Linked DNA regions of Schizosaccharomyces pombe. Changing the gene in region 3 together with the main gene of any one other region gives a genetic interaction. Each region holds a gene or a part of one and is shown on either strand. Other genes may lie near its edges. The genes, in order: SPOM_SPAC1B3.08, dbl8 and SPOM_SPAC4H3.06.

Evidence for each region.
Region 1: mutations in SPOM_SPAC4H3.06 (region 3) and SPOM_SPAC1B3.08 together harm fitness less than expected from each alone (positive genetic interaction), as found in Schizosaccharomyces pombe (one large-scale study listed by BioGRID).
Region 2: mutations in SPOM_SPAC4H3.06 (region 3) and dbl8 together harm fitness more than expected from each alone (negative genetic interaction), as found in Schizosaccharomyces pombe (one large-scale study listed by BioGRID).

The regions. Positions count from the first base shown.
Region 1 is NC_003424.3:4,940,840-4,947,210, forward strand, and holds SPOM_SPAC1B3.08 (hypothetical protein), read left to right. Parts: upstream 1-1,704; 5' UTR 1,705-1,836; coding exon 1,837-3,108; 3' UTR 3,109-3,388; downstream 3,389-6,371. Other genes in the region: ESCRT I complex subunit Vps28, read right to left, coding at 1-597; Cytochrome c oxidase assembly factor Coa3, read left to right, coding at 1,387-1,596; noc202 (Noc2-Noc3 complex subunit), read right to left, coding at 3,389-4,975; protein Hrd302, read right to left, coding at 5,251-6,371.
Region 2 is NC_003423.3:2,555,523-2,565,975, forward strand, and holds dbl8 (ATP-dependent RNA helicase Dbl8), read right to left. Parts: upstream 7,648-10,453; 5' UTR 7,606-7,647; coding exon 1,771-7,605; 3' UTR 1,628-1,770; downstream 1-1,627. Other genes in the region: tri1 (CAF1 family ribonuclease), read right to left, coding at 142-1,425; guanyl-nucleotide exchange factor Muk1, read right to left, coding at 8,404-9,226, 9,275-9,660.
Region 3 is NC_003424.3:3,834,480-3,841,624, forward strand, and holds SPOM_SPAC4H3.06 (uncharacterized protein), read left to right. Parts: upstream 1-2,955; 5' UTR 2,956-2,969; coding exon 2,970-3,040; exon of another isoform or gene 3,041-3,088; coding exon 3,089-3,272; intron 3,273-3,331; coding exon 3,332-3,411; intron 3,412-3,460; coding exon 3,461-3,521; 3' UTR 3,522-4,233; coding exon of another isoform or gene 4,234-4,291; 3' UTR 4,292-4,357; coding exon of another isoform or gene 4,358-4,577; 3' UTR 4,578-4,626; coding exon of another isoform or gene 4,627-4,678; 3' UTR 4,679-4,802; coding exon of another isoform or gene 4,803-4,901; 3' UTR 4,902-5,147; downstream 5,148-7,145. Other genes in the region: srs2 (UvrD subfamily ATP-dependent DNA helicase), read left to right, coding at 1-1,114; SPOM_SPAC4H3.16 (uncharacterized protein), read right to left, coding at 1,148-1,193, 1,240-1,447, 1,488-1,557; thiosulfate sulfurtransferase Rdl2, read right to left, coding at 4,234-4,291, 4,358-4,577, 4,627-4,678, 4,803-4,901; SPOM_SPAC4H3.08 (3-hydroxyacyl-CoA dehydrogenase), read left to right, coding at 7,102-7,145.

The DNA.
Region 1 (6,371 bases), 1.1 Mb from region 3:
TAGGCTCTCCGTTAAATCATCCATGCTTACAATCAATTCCGACAACAAAGGATGTAGCTGGTCTTTGGCAATAAAGTTAAGTCTAATGGCATCTAGAGTAGTAATGAAATTTTGTACCAAACCGGCAATTGATTTCGCAATGGAAGCAGATGGGTTGGATGGAGCCTTTGTTGGATTAACAGTTTGTGGAGTAGTATCATTCATAGCAATTGAAGGTTCTGCAGTTGTAGATATTGCATTGGAAAAGGTGGAATTGGACTGAGATCTTTCGTCCGATATCCCCTCTTGAATTCTCTTGATTGCTCTTGGGCATTGCAGTCGATACTTTGAACAGAAGTCTTCAAATGAGCCAAAAGCCTGAGTAACTCTTTCGTCACTAAAGCAAGACTCCCATTGTTGTATCAAAAGTTCACAGGTAGAATTGAAATCAGAAGTAGACACGGCGTCTTTCGTAAAAGCTTTCTCCAATTGCTCTAATGCCACCAAAATACTGTAAAGAATACTTAAATCTTCACGTACCTGTTGATTTTTAGTATGAAAATTGTTTTCTTCTGAAGTTTCCTTTTCTAAAAGGTTCAGATCGTAGTATTCAGTCATAGCATTAATAAACTGAAGAAACAGATGTCTAATTGTCCTTCAATCTTTCAAAGTTATAAACTAGCTTCGAATATATAATTAATTAATTACAATTGGGAAAAAATCAATTATAAATCAATGTAATGAATGACTTATTACATTGGAATAAATTGAGAGCTAGATGTTTCACACTGTCGCACAGTCGTCCATCGTTCTCATTTTGAAAACACATAATGCATCAAATATTGCACTTCTCTATCCAACAATTAGCCAAGTTAACGTACTGGTGCAAATCGCTATTAAATGTCAGCAATACTACACTACGCTATAATACACTACGTTGAGTATCACTATATGTCACATGTTCTAATTATATATCGTACCATGTATGATACGATATGGAGATTGATCTTAATGATAATCTATTAAGATCAATATTATCTGAATACTATAAATAGAGCTACTGCTGAACCTCGTTCCTCAGTTCAGTTATGAGCTATATTAGTGATAGGTAACATTATAACCCAGTTAATACAATACCTATACTCAGTTGCTACTTATACAACCTGTGTATTGTAATATAATAGATCACAAGGAAAACTCACCGCAGTTCTACGTATCCTTAAATCAGATACCAAACTGCGTAGCTTACATTAAAGTTGTCTCTAAGAATTTCGCAACAATGTGATATTTGTATATCGTTGCTTAACGCAGCCATTGAACAAATGTGATCGCATTGACATAATTATTAGTTTCCCTTTACAAAGCACATTTCAGTACGACTAGGTTGCTTTTCTGAACCATTATATTATGAACCAGGGTAATCAAGCTTTTGAAAATGCAAGAAAACCATTTCGCAGGGCTAATTTGATTACGGCCCTAGGTCTTGGCGCGTTTGCCTTCGCGACCTTTGCATATTCGGTCTACCGAGTTCACGAAGATACTTTTGAAGACGTAGTAATGACTCCTGAATTGGAAAAAAAAATTGCGGAGGATCGAGATCTCTCAAAAAAGAATTGAAAGTGTTCATCTTGATTCACCCATTTTTGGCTTTTGCTAGTACAAGTGACATCGTTACCTCTCGTGGGCAGCGTTCAAGAGCGCGCACACGACGGTGTCGTTGGTATTGAGACAGAGCACACTGGCGAAAACACAAACGGTGCTTGTGGACCCTTTAAAGCCCGATTTTTACATCTTCCCTTTCCCTTCCTTTTTTTTGGTACCGACCTGCTTAAAGGGCGCTTCTGATTTATGACAACTATGAGTGAGAGGCCTTTACCTTTAAACGTTTATTTCTCAACCATTAATTCAGCTGTTGCGCGATCTAATAGTGTCCTACTAGCGAAAAATTTATCAATTCCTTGGGGGAAAACGCTAACCTCAGTGCTGAACTTTGATATTCCTGGAACATATTCGTCTGACGATGTTTTGAAACTTACTGTAGAAAGATCAATTTCAAAAAACTGGACAGACATTGTACTTTTGCATTTACAAGTTTTGCTGTACTTAGTTCGTGACCATGATCCTGCAGCCGCCTTTAAACAACAGACTGAACTCGCACAGCATCTATATCGTGAATTCTCATCCGGCAGATGTACCGGTGTTCATTTACCAGTATTGTTTATAGTATGTAAGGATCTACGATTTTTGGCTATCAATGCACATAATGCAATGCTTCGCCGCAAACAGCAGTTGAAAGTAATTTCGGTTGATGAGTCGGAAGAAAATGAACAACTTGAAGCAACCGCTAGGCTGATTAATCGTGCATTTACCATCTGTATCAATGATCGAGCTCCTCTGTCGACGTCACGTAAATGGGGAGCTTATTATATTATGGGTTTGTTGTTTAAACTTTACTTAAGACTAGATTGTGTGCATTTGACCAACAATGTTCTGCGTGCCATGAAAGTTGTGGAACTTCCTGACATTTCCCTTTTCCCTAAGTCTCACGTCGTAATTTTTCATTATTACCTTGGAATTGTTGCCTTTTTAAACCAAAATTACAAAAATGCCTCAGCTGAGCTAGAGATTGCCTTTTCCTTATGTCACAAAGGTTACAATCGCAACTTGGAATTAATTCTTTCGTATTGGATTCCAACTCGCATTTTAGTAAATCATCAGCTACCCACAAAAAATTTACTCTCTAAATTTCCCAATCTGGCTTCTGTCTATATTCCTTTGACTAGAGCACTAAAATCCGGTAATTTAGGTGAATTTGGAAAATGTTTGCAAAAAAACGAAACCTTGCTTGCAAAAACCAAAATTTACCTCACCCTAGAGGGCACAAGAGATTTGTGTATTCGAAATCTTTTTCGTAAGACTTGGATCATCTGTGGGAAATCTACTCGTTTACCTGTTTCTGTATTTCAGATAGCCCTTCAAGTTGCCGGTACTGATTTACCCAAACTGCATGTAGAAGCTATTTTGGCCAATATGATTAGCAAAGGATACATGAGAGGATATATATCTCGTAACTTCGAAACTGTGGTTTTGTCCGCCAAGGATCCGTTTCCCAAAAATGTCTCTACCTAGTTATGTCCATTATGAAAAATACGTTAAGATTTGTCGATGCGGCAAAAAATTTAAAACTACAGCGTTTACGCTATTTTTAAACTCTATTACTAATCTTATGAATGATTAGAACGTTTATTAATTTAATTAATTCGTCCGTTTTTGATCTCTATAGTAAGTTAACTGAAAATCATGTAGATATACAATGCTTATTTATATCCTTAATCTCCACCAGACAAAAGTGTTTACTTTTTTCGTTTGTACAATAAAAATTTTTTTAAAGTCAATTTAAAGAACCTTCTTAGGTAGTATCACTGACTAGTTTACCCATTGGAGTAGACCTCCAATCCAAGTCCTTCTCGAAAGCTTCTACTTGAGATGTGTCATTGAGAGTAAAATCTACGTTCATCCTTCTGCTTTCAACAAAAGAAAAAGTGCTTTCAAGTTTGTTCAAGAATGTTAAAACATGCTTCCCCGGTGCGGATTCATTTACCAGTCCACGAAGTTGTGCGATTATGGGAGCAGAGAGCTCTGGAAAGGCAATTGAATTGGAAAATATGGCAAAATATTCAGTCATTAGCAAAATGACTTCTTTTCTGACATTGTTACGATAAGATTTTGACAACAAACATTCTTTAGGCACATGAAGAGTAGAATACATGTCAAAGTTATACATTACTTCCTTATCATCAGACAAAGGACTCGATCTCCTAAGAACAAATGGGATCATTTCTAAAAACTGAGAAGACAGGGGGATGTAAAGGCGGGTAGATCTGCAAATATTAACAAGTGACTTTAAAAGATGGAGACGTAATGGGTAATATTGCTCCGTAGGAATTAAACGAATGCAATCCAGCGTCAGGTTTATGGCGATTGGAGAAATTTCTTTGGAGATTGATTCATAATCATTCCATAAAAATGATATAACATGTAACCAAAATCTCAGCGAAAGCGTAAATTGCCAATTGTATATTAATTTGTATGCATCACTGCTTTCAGACTCCTTCAAGCAGCGCTTCAAATGAGCATCCAATTGGGAGAGATAAGCGAAGGCAATTTTTTGATAAAACCGTGAGTTAAGAGAAAGAAGTTCAATCAAGAACAGTTGAAGCTCTTCAAGGGTATCGAAATCGTTAACTTCACTGGGAGAAGACTTAAAAAAGTCCAACAAAGGCGAGTAAAATACTTGAAAAACTGCCACACTCAACGACGAATCAATTTTGCAAATATGATTAACTGCTTTTTGAATATCTTCCCGAGCTTTAGAATGATTAACAAAAATATTACATAGCTGTGTAACCAGACCATTGGGAAATTTAGAAAATTTTTTTATGTGAAGTATAGTATCAAGGGCCGAAGACAAATTTTGATATCCCTTTTTCTCAAAATTAAATTTTGTTAATAAAATCTCGGCATACTCTAAACGAAGGTCCTGAAGAATCTTTGACCTAGCGTCAAAATCCACGTTGTCCAAAGTCTCCTTTAAGTCCTTTTCAACATTTTTCCACAACGCATCTGCTTGATTGGTCCCCGATAATTTCTGACAATATGCAATAGCAGCAAGTAAATCCTTTTCACTCCGTCTTTTTTGAGTAGAAACTTGATTTAAAGAAGCGCCCTTGGAGTTTACATTAAGAACCGAAATATCTTCTGATCCGTCTTTCTCATGCGATGTATTAGAGGTCGTTACATCTGAATATAGTTTAGAAAGATCTTCTTTGTTTTTATTGTTATCATTTGTTCCACTTTCCAGTTTATTTTTTGTATGTGAATTTCGATTTTTTGTGCCGTAAACTTTTTTTGAACGAGCTAACTGCTTTCTCCGCTCGATAGTATTTTTTAGGTGGTTTTTAGTAAACTTTTTTGTAGCCTTGGAAGCTTTACCCATTTCCCCGAGAAAACAAAAACACCAGTTCAATTGCAGATGAACGTAGTAGTAAATTCACTTCGCTGTAAATGTGTGAGAAATTCAGGTTGAGTAACACGGGTAACAGTGCAAGGATTTCTCAAAAATTAGCAGCTTTTATGGTATTTGAAAAGTGAATTGGAATATTTTGACTGTAGGATTAAAAATATGTGCTCCTTCAAGCAGCTGATCATGCATATAACGATAGCTATATTGGCACTTGTGAAGCATATTCATGCGATTTAGATAAAAAATACTTACCGTAAACGAAGTAGTTTCAGTAATTTAATATAAAGTTGGTGAATATTGATCCAAAAAATGGCAACTTTTAAAGGGAAGTAAGAGTTTTGGTTAGAAGATAGCTCATCCAGCAATCGTCTAGCAATATAAATATCTTGATCTCGTCCTATTCCGTATTCGTGCATATATGCCATGTTCCAAAGGCCCATACCGATTGAGCTTTGCTCATAAGCAATTTTGTAACATGTATATGCTTTAGAGTAGTCTTTAGGGGTGCCAATTCCATAGTAGTAATAATCACCCAGTTTAAAAATGGCATCAATATCACCCTGAGCGGCAGCACGAGAGTAAAACTCATACGCAAATTTATCATGAGCAGCCTCCTGCTCAGATTGGGTATAGTTAAAGTAGCGGAATACTGAGTTAATTAGAAACTTATTCTCATCCATCAAATATGCTGCATTAATTTCAGCTAGGGCATATCCCATTTGAGCGGCATATAAGTAATAGACGAAAGAATTATGAAAATATCCATATTCGTCTATTTCTTCTAAAGCTATAGCCATCGAGGTTGCAGAAGCTCGTATTGCTTCCACAAACTTTTTATAGTATAAAGAGGCACTTATCATTGATCGACTAGTTCCAGTTCCATTATAATAACAATCAGCTAAATATTTGTAAGAGATGACACTTTTTTGAGTAGCAGCTCTTAAAAAGAGGTGATACGCCTCTTCATAACGCGCTTCTTCAAGACGAATGAGGCCAAGAAACATAAGTGCATGGGGATTTTCATTCATTACAGCTAAATTTATTAGTCTCATTCCTTTTTCTCGATCAACGCCGTTGGAAGTTAAACCGTGATAAGCCATGTAACCTAAACCGTAATAAGAATTGGAATCGTTTTTCGTTGCACCTCTTTTAAACCACCAGTATGCTTTGTCTATATCGAATAAAGGACCTTTATCAAATAGATGTAAAAGTCCTAAATATCCACAAGATTGAGCGGCCAAGGAAATTATGCTCTGTGGAGTGTTAGCTAACACACTATTTTCTGAAGTGTATGGCCAGTATTGTCTTGAAACCTTGCGAAATAATACATCGGAAACAGTGTAATTCCTTGGATACTTATACATCCCGT
Region 2 (10,453 bases), on a different chromosome or scaffold from region 3:
ACATCCTTTGACAATTTTATTAGTCACATACCATTCTTGCATATAATCCATGAGTTTGTAATCAGCCACCTGTACTATTGTAATCTCCATAGGGTTTATATAACCTTTGAATATTTTAGAAGATTATTCGCTTCAATTCAATCAACTGCAATATTTATTTAGGTCAAGAAAACTACCGTGAATTGGAAGAACATTTTGCCATCGCTGTATATCCGAGTGTTTTGTTCTCATAACGTAGTAAACAAATAGTAGAGCAGTGTCGTATGAATCTTTTCCTGCTTCATGTGGGCGTTTTCTGCTCATCATTGACTTATATGGACATTCAATCAGCGAATTTAAAGAAACATTTGACCTTTGAGATGAGGAGTTAGAAGGTACTGGCGGTAGAGATATCTTTGAAACTAAGGAAAGTAAGTCCGTTGGTATCCCATCTGATACATGTTGAAGATCATCGGATTTCAAGTAGAGAAGTTTAGTGTCATATATAGATTTGAAAGATGATAAACAAAGCTCAGAAAACTCTAATATCGTTTCCGGGACTTTTCCTTCAAAAAGGGAAAACAAATACACCAAATCTGCCATGCCATTGTGACAAACTACTGACTTTTTTTTCTTAAGTATATAGTCCCATAAATGTCGCAACCCAACATTCTGTTTGATCAAATTTAGATTGTTAAGTATTAATTGGTCGCTCGCAATATCTTCTTTGAGTTCGCTTTTTGAAGTGGCAGAGCATTGAGTTGTCGAATTTTCAATAGCCTTCCGAACCTGCAGAAATGTTCTTTTGGGGTAACTCTTTAAAGTTGGAAATTCAATTTTAACCAGGGATTGTATTGCTTTTCTTATAAAACGATTAGAGGTAGTAATGTTCAAGTATTTTGAAGTGGAATGTGACAACTCGCTCGATAACCAATTCTTAATTTGATTTCTTGCGTCAACAAGAATTTCTTCATCGCAAGCATCTAAAATTGAGCTGGTCAAGTCGTCAGTTGATCTTTCATTAACCTTGTCGATCAAATTTCTTTCTTCAATCCGTGATAAGTATGGTACACCCTCTGTCAGTTGTTTATTAAAATCAAAACCTTGTTGTATCAGAAACTTAATACTGCTAGCCTCCGAGCAGAAGTCTCTCTTAAGGTGCAATTCATCTTTAACTAGAGGACTTACGTTAATATTTACGGGAATACACGAAGATTTTCCATTGTTTTGCAAATAAATAAAGGTTATACCAATTTGTAAAATTGTGTATCGTATACTACTTTTTCTCAGTAACTCATATCTGTCTTGTAAAGTATTTTTGTTGTTAAGGTTGAAGTCTCTTAATAATCCGGAAAATTCACAATCAATGGAAACATAGTGTGCTGAATCTACGTGTTTCTCCAATTCTTTTAATGTCTCTAAAAAGTTTTTGCCATGTATCTCCATCTATAGATTCAATGTATTTTGTAGAACTCAATTGAACATGCACTGATAATATGCTAATTTATAGCATATTTTGGAAGCTAATTAATAATGAAATTGTGAGTATGAGCTAATACAAGTTTGATATAATCCTAACACAAACATATAGAATATACTGGTGCATTTGTCCTGTTTATATATACCATTGAGTAAAAATTAATATAGTGTTGTTGTAAGCAAAATCATTTTTAGATAGGAGAAATATTAATAAATAAACTATGTCTAAGATTCAAATGATTGAAAACGTCCCGCTACTCGTGTTATTAAAAAAGTAATACTGTAAAATACTCATACTAAAACCTAAATCGGCTACTTCCTTTTGAAATGCTCAACTTTTGGAGGTGCAAAACCGTGGGCCATCGCCGCCAGAGCAAGTTTCGATTTGGGCTTTTTTGATTTTTTCATATGGCCTTTATCTTTATTTTTTTCCACATAACCCGGCTTTTTGGAAGACGCTTGTTCAATTTCAGATTCGTCTATTTTGTTTAACACATCTTGCTTGGAACTGGATGATTCATCAAGGCGTGGTTTCGTGACCTTATTATCAGCAGCAGTCTGATCAGTGGAAACTTTGTTCTTAGCGCGCTTATTCGGTATATCTTCATCTCTCTCAGTTCCTCTTGACAAATTAGCACTATCTATATTGTGCCGTTTTTTGACTTTATGTGCTTCTTGTTTTTCCTCACAGATACCAACCGACGGCGACTTAATTGGGGTATCCCGTGAGGCTAAATTTAAATTGTTAGATGCGAGGTGTGTCGAAACGTTTGATATACTTTTTGAGTTCTTAAATTGATTAGCACTCAAGTCTCTCCAAACACCACGAGTTTTTGCGTCTTCAATCAAGCTATAAAAAATATCCTCTTGCATTAGCGGTTTAGAATTGCCTACGATATACAAAGATGATTTAGCTCTTGTTAAAGCTACATTAAGCCGACGAAGATCTTGAAGGAAACCGATTCCACCGCTCATCGAACTCCTAACGCAAGAAAAAATTATAATGTCCTTTTCCTGTCCCTGAAACCCATCGACGGTATGAATATCAAGATGCTTGAATATAATGGAACCATACTTTCTTTGAAATTGTGATCGAAGCTGTTGTACTTGACTTCTATAAGGGGTAACAACTCCAATTTTCCCCTCAAAATCAATGTTTAGATAACATTGAATTAGCCTCTCATATAATAATAAAATAAACGAAGCCTCTTCCACATTGTACAGAGACTTTGAGTTGGAAAAAGCTTCCGTCCCGTGAACATTAAAAAATCGATAAATACCTAGCTGCGGATCCTCGTGCCAAGGTCGAGATGTCACTGCTGACATATTGGGACCGTCAAGTAGTTTTGAATTATAGAAAAACTTGCTGGGAAATCGGCTAATTTCAGGATTCATTCTATACTGTATGCTAAGAAGACAAGCGCTCTCATTATGCTGTTTGAACATTCTGACATATAGAGATTGTGAATATCCAAACTTTGCAGAGGTTTTTGATAGCACAGTAGGAGGAAGCTGATTCGGATCACCAACCATTACACAGCTCTCACAGCCATACTTAAGAGGTATGATTGAACTTAATTCAACGGCTTGTGCAGCTTCATCAATTATGACAGTTCGAAAAGTCAAACCCGCATTTAAAAGTAGTTCATGACCACTCGCAGATAAGGTAGCACATACAATATCAGCTTCCTGAAGTAGTTGATTTTGTATTTGTTTTTTCAAAACATCCAGATTACGATTAGTTGAGCGTTGACGTTCTCTCATATCATCAAGGCTCTGTTCAAGCATGTTTTTCTGTTTGGTAATCTCACGAAGCTGTGCTTCCAATATTGAACTATTTTTTCCAGTACTACGAAACTTTTCTAGATCTTCGCGTAAAGAGTCCCTTTTTTTAATAATTGAGTCATATTTTTTCCGAGTATCACTGGAATTGTTTGCTTCTTGATCTTTCTTTAGGTTCGTAAGTTCCATTTGCTTTATCATTTGCTCTTCCAAAGTAAATTCTTTAGCGTGAACGCTTATGGAGTCACCAAATCCAACACGAATAACTTTTGGAAAAAATTTGATACCCTCATGATCGTAAACACCGGCTTTGATACGAAGGAGAATTTCATCTATGGCTGCATTACTAGGAGCGCATATTAAAATCTTATTCTTTGAGGTTTTTCGCGTCTGTCCTGGGACATTAAATTGCAACCCTTGACTAGAAGAAGTAAGTACAGCTCCAATCATGCCTAGAATGGTTTTAGTTTTTCCAGTTCCAGGAGGCCCTTGAATGAGCGTAAAACCATCATTTACAGAAGATGCATAAATCGCATATGCCTGGGGTTCATTTACACCATAAGACTTCATTATTTTTTGCTTTTTGTCATCTGTAAAATTTGAAGGTAGACGCGTTACATTGGCATCCAGAATTCTCTGAGACAATGGTAAATGGCGAAGAGATTTTAAAGCAGCAAATTCACGTAAGCTAGTAGTAGCATTAAATAATTTTTGTGCTGTGAACCTAATGTTCGGTGCATACTCCTGTAGATCAATTGATTCAATATTCATCCGCAGACAGAGTTCAAGTGATTCTTTTTTACGAGAAATGGATTGAATTTTGCACAACTGAAAAGATTTTGGGTTATTAGTATCGCCCGAACTTTGTGATTTTGACAGTAAGCAAATATCTGTATCACTTAAAAAAGAGACTTCGGTAGGTGAACAGGACGTAAAGTAAATATCGACAAAGTTATCAACTGTACTGCGGGTGTTGAGGATTAAATCTATGGGAGGGTATTGCTTTTCTTCAACGGCACTTTTCACTTGAGCCCAACATTCATGAAACAACATTGGTTTGAAAACTTTCTCATAAGCGTTTGAATCATTATACGTGAATTTAGCTTGGACGCACTGCATCTCAACATTAGACGCCGAAAAAGAATCAGCTAATGGGTTCCAACCCAAAATTACTTTGTAAAACTCTTGAACATCAGGGTTTAGCCGGAGTCGAGCAAGTTGTGCACTTTGTTGAGTATTACGGCGCAATTGAGTAGGATGAACTACATTTTTTGTTTTAAGGGAATCAAAGTCCAAGAACTGAATCTGCCTTCTTTGTGGAAGAGATTTAGAGGCATGAGAATTAGCTTCACGTGCAAGCGAGAATAGACCGTTACTAGACTCTTCTTCGGACTCCGAGGTATCTTCATCGGAAGTTGAAGTATTTTTGTCATCTGGATTAGAATAACTTTTAGAAGTGTGCAAAAGTGAAGGCTTGCGAATTGGGTCAGCAGAATCGAGCTTTTGCAAAGCTTTTGGTATATGATTATCCGAATTAAGTTTCTCAGAAAGATGGTTCCCCGCACTGGTTCTTGGAACTTTCGCGGATTCGCGAATTCGCTGTGTTGTCTCTTGTTTAGATTTCAAAAAATTTAAATTTTGAGATTTTTGAGCATTTCTATTGATGGCTTTAGAAGCAGAAATAGCCTTCGGAGGAAGCAAAAAATGATTTGAAGTACTAATGTTTGACTCAGGTAATTTTTTCGCAATCCCAATAGTCTGGTCTTTAGAAAGCAAACCCCGATCATCACTCTGTAACTTAGTTTCAAGCGTATTGGTATCATTGAAAGGAGAGTGATTAAGAACGTCTTCTGAAAGGTATGGTGTGAGCGATATAAAAAGATCCTCTCTCTCAGTGAATGTAAGAATTGTTTGTTCATCACTGGTAATTGATGCCCTATGGATAATATCAATCACATTTTGACTAATTGGACACTCCAACTTTTTACAAATTTTAAGCATTTTACAAATCACTTTCACAACGGATGTTAGAAGTGAAGAATCAGTTAACTTAAGCCAATAAGATACAGTAACCAAAGAATCAGCTATACACATAGCTAAAGCACTGCCCTTATCATTAGCCGAAACAATTTTAATATCGTTATCCGATAATCCAAAAATGAATCCGTTAACTTCCTCAAAAATATTAATGAGCATATCGCAAAAATCAAGGGTATCCCGCATTAAATCAACTAAATTGTCCTTATCATGAACTGGCCAAGTAGGAAGAACAATGAAAAAATGAGTAAAGAATTTCCATAACGATTCCCAGAAATTCTTAAGGGATTCTTTCTTTTCCACTTGTTTTGCAAAAGTCGCATCCTTAGAAGTTAAGCCATCAACAGAGTCAAAAATAGTGTTTATAATTAATTTATTAAAATAAACAATGTGCTTGGCTCCTCCAAAGTTTCTGACTTTAAGCCACTGCAGAAGAACATAACATGAAGAATTTAGTGTATTTGAAAACTGGCTTCTCAATAGCTCTCCTATAGTATCAACAACGCTGTCAGAAAGCGAAATAGATTTAATAATTGAGATACTTCCTGTTGAGATCTCAAGAATTGGAGAAAAAACGAGTGAAAAGATTCCACGAAAAGTTAAAGGATTTGAAACCAATTGGGTTTGTGCCGACAAATGCCAACATTGAGTCTGAATAAGCATTTCAGAAAATGTTGCAACAAATCCGTTTAGTGCATTTTCGAAATCACTTTTGAACGGAATGTCAACTTTCTTAGGCGGCAACTTATCAATCAAGCAAACTGTAGAGCAAGCACGAAAAACAATACGAACCATAAAGAACTTCTCCTCTCGAAATACGTTTTGCAAATATACCCAAAAATTTTTAAAAGACTCACTTACCGATTTGATATTCAAGGGTGGCTTTCTATTTCTGTCCAAATAATGGCAATAGAATTGCTTCAAAATATAAAGATCTAAATTCAATCGGTATTCAAAAACTTTCTTAATAAGCCTCCATTCAACAGACTCTTCATTTTCCAAGTTTAGCAAACGAAACAGCTCGTCAAACTTAATCGCTAAAGTGGAATGTAATTCAAATACTTTGTTTTGTAAACTTTGATCACTATGGGGGAAAATCATAAAATATTCGGAAAACAAAACTGAAAATATGTCAGCAAGTGATTGAAGTAACTGAACATTTTTGAAACCGACTTCCAGTTCCTTTTTATATTGCATGGTGTAATTAATCAAAATTTTGTTAATTAATTCAACTTCATCAATGATTGAAATTGTCTTCAAAAGAGAGGTAGCCCATTCAAACGGATTCTCTGCCTTTTGGTCGTTTGAAAAATTGGATGTATTTTCTTCTGTCCACCTCTTATAAGCATTACCATTAAAAATTTTATCTATTACTTCACTGGGAGAAATTTCTGGCGTCCAAAAATTACGTCCATAGCAGTATAACAAAGAATGTAAACATACAAGGAAAGACGGACATAAATTAGTATGGTCGCTTTGCAATCCCGAAAGAATAAAATCGGCGACATTGAAATTTTTTCCTGTAAGTCCCCTAAAATAAAGATGATCAACATGCTTTAACAGCAACGATAAACCTTTCAGAAAAATTTGCATCTCGTTCTCATTTTCTTTCTTCTGGTCTAAAGAACGAATTTCCTGAAGAAGGGGACCCTCAAGGATTTTAAATTCATTATCGGAGATTGTTTTTACATCACTTAAAATACTGCAAGCCCATCTTCGGAGCTCATCATCTCTCGAGAAGAGAAGACTTATGACACCTGGCACTAGGTTTTTCGAGAGCCGAAGAAAACCGGACTCAAGAAATCTGTTTCGGAACAAGGGAAAGATTTCTTTATTATGTAAAATACGAGGAGAGTATAAGATTTCGTAGAAGGCGCATAGTATAGGTTTAGAGGCCGAGGACGTGTCGATTTTAGGCACTGTTTTGAGAACTTCCTGTAACCGAAAAATGTCCCAACTATAAATTTTCTCCATTACAATCTCAAGAGTATTTGGGTCAAAGTGAAAAATGTTTAAACATAGACTTTTGAAATCATCTAAAGATTGGTGATATTTAACTATACATTTGGGGCATAACTGAAGGCGTTCGTTCAAATGTTTTTTGAACCATACCAGATACTCGTTATCATTTTGAAAAGAAAATAGAAAAAGACATTCACGAACTGCTACTTGTAATTTAGGATCACAAACCCAATGAGGGTTTTGTCTGTTAGTATTTAGGTATGAAAGCGCCAAATGCAAAACTTTATTGGACCCTTCGAAAGATGGGTGTTTTTGATTTTCCTGAATTTTTCTTATTAATCTATCAAAAGCCTCGTCATTTTCCATAACCACAAGCTAATGCTGCATTCTCACTCTCGAAGTAGACTTATTAAAGCGCGACTGCAATTTTTCAAAATCTAGGTTTCTAAGGAAGTAAATTACACTATTCACTATAAACATTTAGTGCAACCAATCATTTGATGTCCACACAGCACTCGATTATCGCATTGAAATAAAATAGCCTTAAGAGAAATTTTAAATAAAAAAATGAACGTATATTTTGAAAGTGTATATAAATTCATGTACCAAAATCACGCTTCTTTATTGTAATTAAGATATATATGATTATCCGAAATATATTTTAAACATTACTATATATAATGTGACAACTTAAAAAACTTTCTTACCCATTATAATCCGAAGTTTGTGATTGTGTGTTTAATTCCTAGTTTCAAATATGACTATTTTCTTCACTGAGCAAAGAATCACAGTTCATTTTATTCAGTATATTTAAAAATTTTGCAGTAACATGATATATTCGTTTCATATATTTCCTTTGTAAGGATTTAATTCGCATGCAATCTTTGCGTCAACATACAAGCTTAAATCATTTTTGCTAGTTCTTTGTGATATTCATACATTAATAAAATAGACGTCAAGGAATAATCAATCCTTGTTTTGAATAAAAATTTTCTTTTAAACTTTTAAGCTGTTCACGAATTGACCTGCAACAAAGAAAAAAAAAATATTGATCAATCATATAACTTTTCTATATGACTTTGTCTCTCAAATGAATCAAATAACCATAAACAAAGCCGAAAACCAACTGGATGTGAAATTTTTAAAGAAAATATTCAGTCAAAATTACTGATTACCATTTTTCTCAAAAAGCAAACGTGCGAGGCGCTTATAGTCAGAAAGAAGAAGTTCAATTTCACCGATTTTAAGATCGCTAGCATCAGAAACAGTCAAAAAGCGTTCCAAAGGTGGGTCGCCCACGAATTCTACAGAATTGGAAGAATCTTCTGAACTTTTGGCAGTGTGATTGGCTACTTTACTAAGTAGAGAGGCATAAGATTTCTCAAGTGCTAGTCCCAGATTTCTTAAATTAGATAAAGATGAGCGATTCACAGGGTAGGGTTCTGCACTCGGATCATGAAGCGAGTTAGAGGTCGAAACTGTTTCGCTATTAGCTACCTCAAGTGAAAGAGGATCATCAGAGGGTTGAATTGACGATTGAGTTAAAAGATTTGGACAAGCTCGAAGAATAAAAGTAAGGGCTGCCTCAAAAGTTGTGAGACAGTATCTTTGCTCTCCGCTTAAAAAATCTGCATTTCGAAAGCGTAACACAAAATTCAGGTGCGATATTAAATGAAATCCGGGATAACAGAGAATGCAATATATGGTCAAATTTAATAAAGAATCAGCATTCAATTCTTCTTGAGGAAGTTGAGAGGCATTCAATATACTTGAATTAACGGTCATAAAAGTGTTTATTTTCGATCTAGGTGTGTGTTGCTCATCGAGAGCAAAAAATGCTTCAGAGACTTCATGTAACCGGTTTGTAAGTTTTTCATCATCAGGTATTGGAATGCAATTGATAAGTTCTTTCTTTTCTTCAGAAGCAATAAATTTTTTTAACAAGTCATCTTTGGCAGCATCCGTACTTGTAGATAAACAGAAAATCCTAACACAATATTAGTAAACAGTTATTGTAGGCGAAGTAATCACATACCGATCATACAAATATTCGCAAACTATATCTTCAATTTGGTCCATCCATTCATCTTTTTGGTTCAGCAAGTGTTGTCTCGCCTTTTTCTGAGCATCTATTTCCTCAGGAAACAAAAGAGGCACATTTTGATCTTTTGAAGAGGGTTGAGGGATAAGGGTTGAAGCAATAAACTCATCGGTATGCTTGTAAAAGTTTTGAAATGCTTTTGCTAGTTCTTCAGGCGAAAGCAATTGAGGGTGAACCGGACTAACTAGAGAAGAGATAAACTGTATCACACATGCTTGTACAGTAGTTGGAAGATTTGATGCAGAATTTGGGAGTTTGATGTCTTCTTCCTTAGGCTTATTTGTATATTTAACAGCTCTCCAAGAATTCAGAAAGCTCATCGAAAGGAACTTTTACGAAAGGTGATCAAAAAGTTTAATTTTCAAAAATAAAATTAAACGAAAAAAAATTCTATATATACATGTAACTAAGAATATGTTAGCATAGGGTCTAATTCAAATTTTCAAATTTATATCAGATAGGATAAACAGCAATCGAAGGAACCGAGTACGAAGTATTCGTTGAGAGTCAAAAATATAACAATATATCCCTAATAGAAAATATACATCGTTTTAAAGCTATAAATGCTAGCAATTCCTTCTTTACCTTTGTCGTATGACAAGTTTTCAAGTAATTGTCAAAATATAGAGACACGAATTAAAAAAATAAGAACGTTGATTAAGAACTTGATATAAAATGAAATAATAATCAGAGGTAATGCTTACTTGACTTTAACTTATAAACCCTTCAAAATAGAGGAACAGTGCTGGTAGAACCAAAATTGATATGCATTCATGTTTCGGCATAATAATAGCGTATACTCGTTAAGAAACCGTATACTGTAAATGTAAATAATAGGATGAGTAAATTTAAGTGCTAAAAAAAATAATTTAGAATTATAGATTCATTAATTCCTTTAACAATTAAGATGATCGGAATGTTAGTTTGTACGTTATTTGTATCGAAGATGAAGTTTAATACTTATATAGATTACAATAAACTAATCAATACTTGAAAGCAATTGTTCACTGTACGATATTGTTGAATAATTTGGCAAGAATAAGCATTTAATTTGATGATATATTTTACTTTTTCAAACTTCATGAAATACACATCGAAGTCCATAACAATTGT
Region 3 (7,145 bases):
TAAATATTACGAATACCTGGTTCGGAAAAATAAAGAAACTGTCGAAGAAAAATGGGAAAATGTAATGGAGCTTGTACAACAAAGCGATAACATATCTTGTATATTCTATGAATTAGATTACAAAATATCAACAATTGTTCTATTGCAGAATTTTTTGACTCAAATCGCTCTTGTGAATGAAGAACAGAAAGAGGGCGAATCTCAGAAGGTTACCATTTCAACCCTTCACGCAGCTAAGGGTTTAGAGTGGCCTGTTGTATTTTTACCTTGTCTTTGTGAAAATATTATCCCTCATTCTCGTTCAGACGACCTCGACGAGGAAAGAAGGCTGCTATATGTCGGTGCCACACGTGCACAGGCGCTACTGTATCTATCTTCCTTTAAAAGCGTCACTGGAATGTTTGCAGATATGCAGAACTCAGACAATGTACAGGACGTCAGTCCATTTTTAAAAGGAGAAGAAATGAAAAGATGGGTGATGGAAAGTGAAATAGTTTTTAATGAAAAGATTGCTTCTGAAATTGGAACCATATTGGGTCGGAAATCTTATGGGAAAATAACTAATTTAAGCGGTATTGGTTCAAATGCAAATCATAACGGAACTAAATTCGAAAACTTGGGCTTCCAATGCTGTCGTGTTCTAGCTGAGGCAGAATTGAAAAAGAGAGAACGAGTCAAAAGTGTCAATGACTATAATAAAGATGAAACAAATTTTAGAAAACATAATGCCAAGAGATCGAAAACCGATATACGAAGTTGGTTTGAGAAAAAACAACCAATCGATTCAGATGTAGAGATTTCTGAGCCGTCAAGGTCCGCAAGCATAATGGTTGCAAATAAAGATTTAAATGATCGAAGTTTTGAAACTGTCAATCGTATTGTATCGACAAGAGCCTCAACGACAAACGCTTCTTTCATGAGCAGCGTCAGACAAAATCTTGGTAGAGGTCCTTCTACGAAAGATCAGGTAATAAATAGAACGTTGAGGGAAGGTCACCAAGATGTTGTGCAACATACTGACCTTAATCAATCAAATACTAAGGTCGCGAGTGCCCGTCCTGCTGGTTCGAGAAAACGATTGGGTGTAAGGCTACGAGTTTCACGAATGTTATAGTCATATCATGTTGTACAAAATCACGTATTATATTTATAGACAATCTAAACACCTTGCTACGGTGTTTTCTTTAAAATACCTACATATAATGTCAGCTTGAAAATAGATACAGATAATAAACTTACATTAGAGTACTACAGTTTCGACAAATATTTCGTTGGCAGCGATCACATGTAGAAAGATATAATACGTTATCACAAAATTCGCAAACACCGGTAGATGAAGGCAGATGGTCATTGTCAGTAACAAAATTAACCTTTTCATTTAAAACGATAGAAGAGGCATCATGGGCATTACTTTTTTTGCTTGCAAACAAACTAAGAAAAGATCTCACTTAGAAGCTTAGTAAAAAATCGCTAAATTCTTCACTTACTATCCAAATGATTTTTACACTTCTTTCTTGGTAACCTACTAGGAACATGTTCAGAACGACATCTTTTCATAGCTAAATCTCGGATACTTCGAGTTTCAAAAAAATGTGACACGTTGTTCTACCCTCTTAAAGCCTTATCGAGGTGTTGTTTTGTTTTTGTGGAACGCGGACTAGATGGCTAGTGCATGGTCTAATGGACTGTACAGGAATGGTCAAATAGGCGATACTTCTTGTCAAAATATAGCACTAAATGCATTTTTGAACCCTGTATATATTCGAAAAAAATACAAATCGTCCTTATTAATACATTTCGTAAGTCAAAATGAAATTGCTGAAATGAATGTGTTAAGGTAAAGCAAATATAGCTAGATTAAGGCTCATTTAAACTTAAATTGAGTAATATTTTCTTAATGTTTTTACATTTATCAGTAAGTGCTCCTTCGAAATGCCTTGTCCAGCTCATTGAAATTCATGGGTCATACCTTCAAAGGCTGAAGTATGAAATCAGGAAGGATTCACTGAAATAAAGAAGTCTTTCTGATGTCTGATTTGAGTATACGATAAACAAATGTGAATGTGCAGATATGAACAGTATAAACCATAGAAAGCCATGTCAAAGCCGAGGAGATACAGATGTTCTACATAGATTTGCAGACAATCCTCCTAGATATTCTATGAGAAAGGAGAGGAAACCTTGGTTTTGCAGCTTCTATATGGAAAGTACAGAGGGGTTGTCTTGCTTAACCAAAGTAAGAAAGAGGCAATCAGAGAAGATAGCCTACAGAAAATTATAATTCTCAATCAATTTATTTAAGGTAAAAACCTCTTATACTTCTGATTCTTTTAGTGCTGCTATTTAATCTGTAATTATACATTATGTCTCCATGTTTGACCAGACTGAACAATTCACAATTTAGTAGGATCTCAAATGTTATTCGGGAAATAGTTGATGGTATTGAACTATAGGATATTAATAAAGTTGTCACGTGTAGACGTATATTAACTTGTCAAAGATTGTTTGAACATTGTGAATAGCAAAATGGATTAGTTATTACAGTAGGCTTTTCAGTAGGTACACACGACGTAGACATATGTTTTAATAGATATTTTCCATCAAAAAGAATTAGGTCTATTAACACGCTCTTTTCTAATAGACCTCTTAAATGTCATTCACTTGAAGTTTGTACTTGTAAATCAAAACATTGGAAACCTGATAAATTGGACAGTTAATTAATTAATTATTCAATCCTTTTCATTATAGAAAACGTTTTTTCTGAATCTTTTTTGCTATAGTATACGCTGTGTTAGAATATGATTCAATTACTTAATAACGACTATATTTTGTAACAATAACTATAAATAATAAGAGTCATATTACTATAAGTATGTTATGTCGAAGGAAAATTACAAACAGTTTTACTTGATTGCAAAGGTGGACTATATATCTGAGACAATTAACTCTTAATGTATCATTTACCAGATATGGAGGAAACTGTAAATAAAATATTGCGAGCTCAAGAAACGAGAGCTCAGTTATACAAAGAACTGGAGGAGTAAGTATTTTCAAAGATATATAAATAAAATAGGTCTAACAAAGGTAGTGCTCTCAATGCAAATCAAGAGAAAAAAATTGGACTTGAGCAAATGGGCATAATTGTTCAACTGGTGACTGAAGGTTTAAATGAAGTTTCTTCTGATATTCGAAACTATCAAGCATCTCTTACTAAGGAGCTTAAACTATTGGTGGATTCTTTACAGGAAAAAGAGCGCTCTAAGCTACAAGCGGTAAATTTTTTTTCATAAATCTTTCTATGCAAGTTACTTACAATGTATAATATTTGCAGACCGTCAAACTTGAGCAGTTAAAAGTTGTTTCTACTAATTCACCAGTTGAGAATACGCAAATTTCAGAATTGGAAGCTAGGTAAATTGAAAATTGAATTATCCAGATATAACTAACAAATAATTATTAGACTTTCTTCACTTTCTAAAGAAATCAACGATATCTTACAAAATATGAAGGATGAAATATGAAGAAAATTGGTTTAATTACTATGGCATATCCAAGTTTTCTCTTTAGCAAGAGTAACATTATGAAGTATGATTCTGAATTTTCTTAAATTTAGAGAAAGTAAAAATTCTACATTAGAAATTTAGGGGACAGTCAGTTCAAAGGTCTCCTTTCTAATCATACTTGTAATTGAGATTGTAACATTCAGTGCAAAAGAAAAAAATGTTATTCGCGTTTTGAGCAAACCGGCAAGGTATGAATAGTATTCTTCAAGCCTTTAAATGTCAAAAACCCATCAATTTTAATTCCACCTGGTTGTTCGAAAACTAATTTCTTAGAGTTATCTTTAACACGTGCTTGAACTGTATTCCCTAGTTTAATTGAATTTGGAGGTGTTCTTTCTAAACCCGGAATTAACTACAATGACTGTCTCAAAATATATTTTCCCATATTAATAGCTTCCAATGTATTTACAGCTTTACCCTTTCGTCGAAGTCTTTGACAATAGAAATGCGAAGGAATAAATCGCTTGAGTAAGTAACTTATCATAGTTCAATTCACCTTATTGTTACATTGCAGTAAAATTGTTTTTGTTTTCTAAGTACACCTTACTTATCATCTAAAAATGGTGAGCAAGCATACGATGCATGCATTCAACTCTAGAAACTTAAACTACATATAAAACTAAAAGGTAACGTAATGGGTGAGAAGGCTGGAAAGCGTTCGAGTCTACCCTCACTTAGACTTAATTTTGTCGGACCACTCAAGCCATGAGCCAGTGTAGTTTCCAATACTAAAAGGTTAGTTTTTGAACACTGTTCTCGAAATTAAGTGGAATTGTTCACCTATACAAACATACTTTTTATAGCCGAGTTTGGTGAGAATGTCAGAAGCGGTCGTACTTCTTCTACCAGAGCGACAGTAAACTACAACGTTGTCCTCAAAAACGGGTTTGCTGAATCCATAAGTCTTGGAAAACTCCTCGTCACTAAGTTTCATGGCTTCCTCGATTTTTCCAACAGGTAAATTATAAGAAGTTTCGATTGCACCTTGCTTAAATTCATCGGGCTCACGAACGTCTGACATGTTAGCAGAATAAGTTTTAACTCACTATTGTATTGTCCTTACCAATTAAAACGGTGGATTTGTCGCCAGTTGGTCTTTTACTAAGGTTATAAACCTATTTCAAGTTAGTACCGTTAATAATTCCAAAATACTTGGAGAGTAGAGTAGCGAAGTGTAAAACTTAGCTTTAACCAGAAAACATCGCATATGAAAGCAAACGTATTCCTATGTTGGTTTACCTTTTCGAAATCAAAGATGCTGACATTCTTAACTACTGTAGAACTGTAGAAAGAGCGGGTCATCAGGAGGCGAGATACGGAAAGAGTTTTAGAAAACATTATGGGTGAAAACAAGGTTTATTACAGCTAGATGGCCCCTTTCAGCAGGCAGGTTAAATCTCAGATTCCCACAGTTGACGGTAGTGGTATAAGCGTGATCGGTGAGTAGTATGATTATATGAACGATCGCTATTACGAAATCGGCAGGTTTGAAGTGTTATAGGGGCTTGTGTTCAGAGGAATCAATAAATGAAATGGATCTTTGTATTTTCGAGATTTTTCAATAATATTTTTCTTTTTTAAAACGGTAGTTTTTAAAGTTACTATTCAAGAAAAGAGCGATTCATCCATCGGGAAAAATGAAGTTGCCGCATTTTCTATGTTTCACTTTTAAACAATTACATATTCAGTATATAAGTTCATAGAATAGAACTGTACGTACGTCTTTGGCACAGTTCTTTAAAATTGCGGATCTTTAATTGTGTATATTACTATATGGAGGTAGCATATGGATTTACCAAAAAGCATTTTATGGATAATTTGTTATTCATAAAATTATGTTTGTTGGAAATACACTGACAGAAACAAGCACTCTAATTTTCAATTGAGCTACAGTTGTTTGTTTTATCATTAGGAGAAAACAGGAATTCATACGACGCTGATTTATATAGATGTATACGTAAGTTTATTTATTTATTTTTTCTCGTCGGGCCTGAAATGCACTGTACTGTAATGTCATGGCATGCTTCAATGCTAATGTAATAGGAAAAAAATCACAGTACACAAATTTTTATGAGTGCTGATATTCTCGCAATGGAGAAACGCTAGGTTTAACGTAAGCATGATGTTTAAATTTGCCAGTACAATTAGAAAACAGGTTGTAAGTCCACCTTTGATATTAGGTCACAGTTCAAATCACTTTTGATTGTATTGCACATGATATTACGTTTACTAAGATTTCGCATCAATTTTAATATTGCAAGTTCTAAGGTAGCAGCATATTATTGAAAATTGAAATTTCAAATGGAAAAGTGATTCACATGCGTCCATTAAAATATAAAAAATAAAAAAAGAAATTTATATCTAGAATAAATTATTGTTTCTTTTAGCGGCAGAAAAACTAGTAGTAAAAATTTTATGCCAATAAATAAATATATAAAATAATGAACCTAAATAATCATATTGGCAATGTTTTCCAATTCAATCATCCGAAATGAATGATTGCAATGGATGAAGGAAAATAAAAACTTGTAAAAATGAAGGTCAGTAAGATTCAGTGTTTAAGATACCTCTCTGGTTTACAATCTTTTATGGACAAATATATGAACGGTTAATTCGATACAGTTCATCTGTTTCACTCGAATACTCAATATAATTTATTTACAATTCACCCATTAAATTAATATTTACCTTATTCATTCGCTTTCATTAATTTCATTCATTCACTTAGTCCCTTATTGTACCAACCTTGTCGCTCGGTACCGAATACAACAGTCGGCGGTTGATCATAGCTAACTAGTGCTAATAGCTAATTTCCTTAAGCAGACTTTTAATCCAACTGTGAATACCAATTACGTACTGTTTTGATTTAGTTAATATTTTCTTCCTCTTTTTTTTTTGCGCTTTTTTTCCATCGAAATCAAATATTATGAAGAATGACTTACTTCATAATTGCGATACCCGAAAACATCACTGATAAAGAGGGGATATCATATTAAAGAGTGAATACCGGTTAGGTCTTAGTTGATTCTTTGGATGTTGGATTGAGGTTTAGCTTGAAATGATGGTTGTCTTTCGTTTCAATTCACCTTTACAACATTTAATTTTTTTTTTAATGATCCATGATCACAATGCCATAATTTACGAAATCCTGGATTACGAGACTCCTGATCGAGCCGCAACTGCTGAATACAAGCGAACCTTGAATCGCAGGCGGATGAAGTATAAAGTTAACTCATATCAATTAAAGAGATTGCAAAGCGGCGGAACACCGTTCCCACGCTTCTAGTACTATGCGGAATGAATAAAAATATTAGGCGGAATGAATAGATTGTCGAGAATGGATTTCTCTCTCGAAATTACGTTCATTTCCTATACATCAGGGGATTATGACATAGAAACGTAAATGGATGTTCTCCGACAAAAAATAAAAAAAATATATTATATATAGAGATAGACGTGCGCCTTAATATATTTCCAATTTACTACGACTGACTAACTAACTAAATAACTGCGACTTTATTAAAAAAACATTAATAAAATGGATCCTGTTCCTAGCACACAAACTCAAAAATGGCCTGGCAA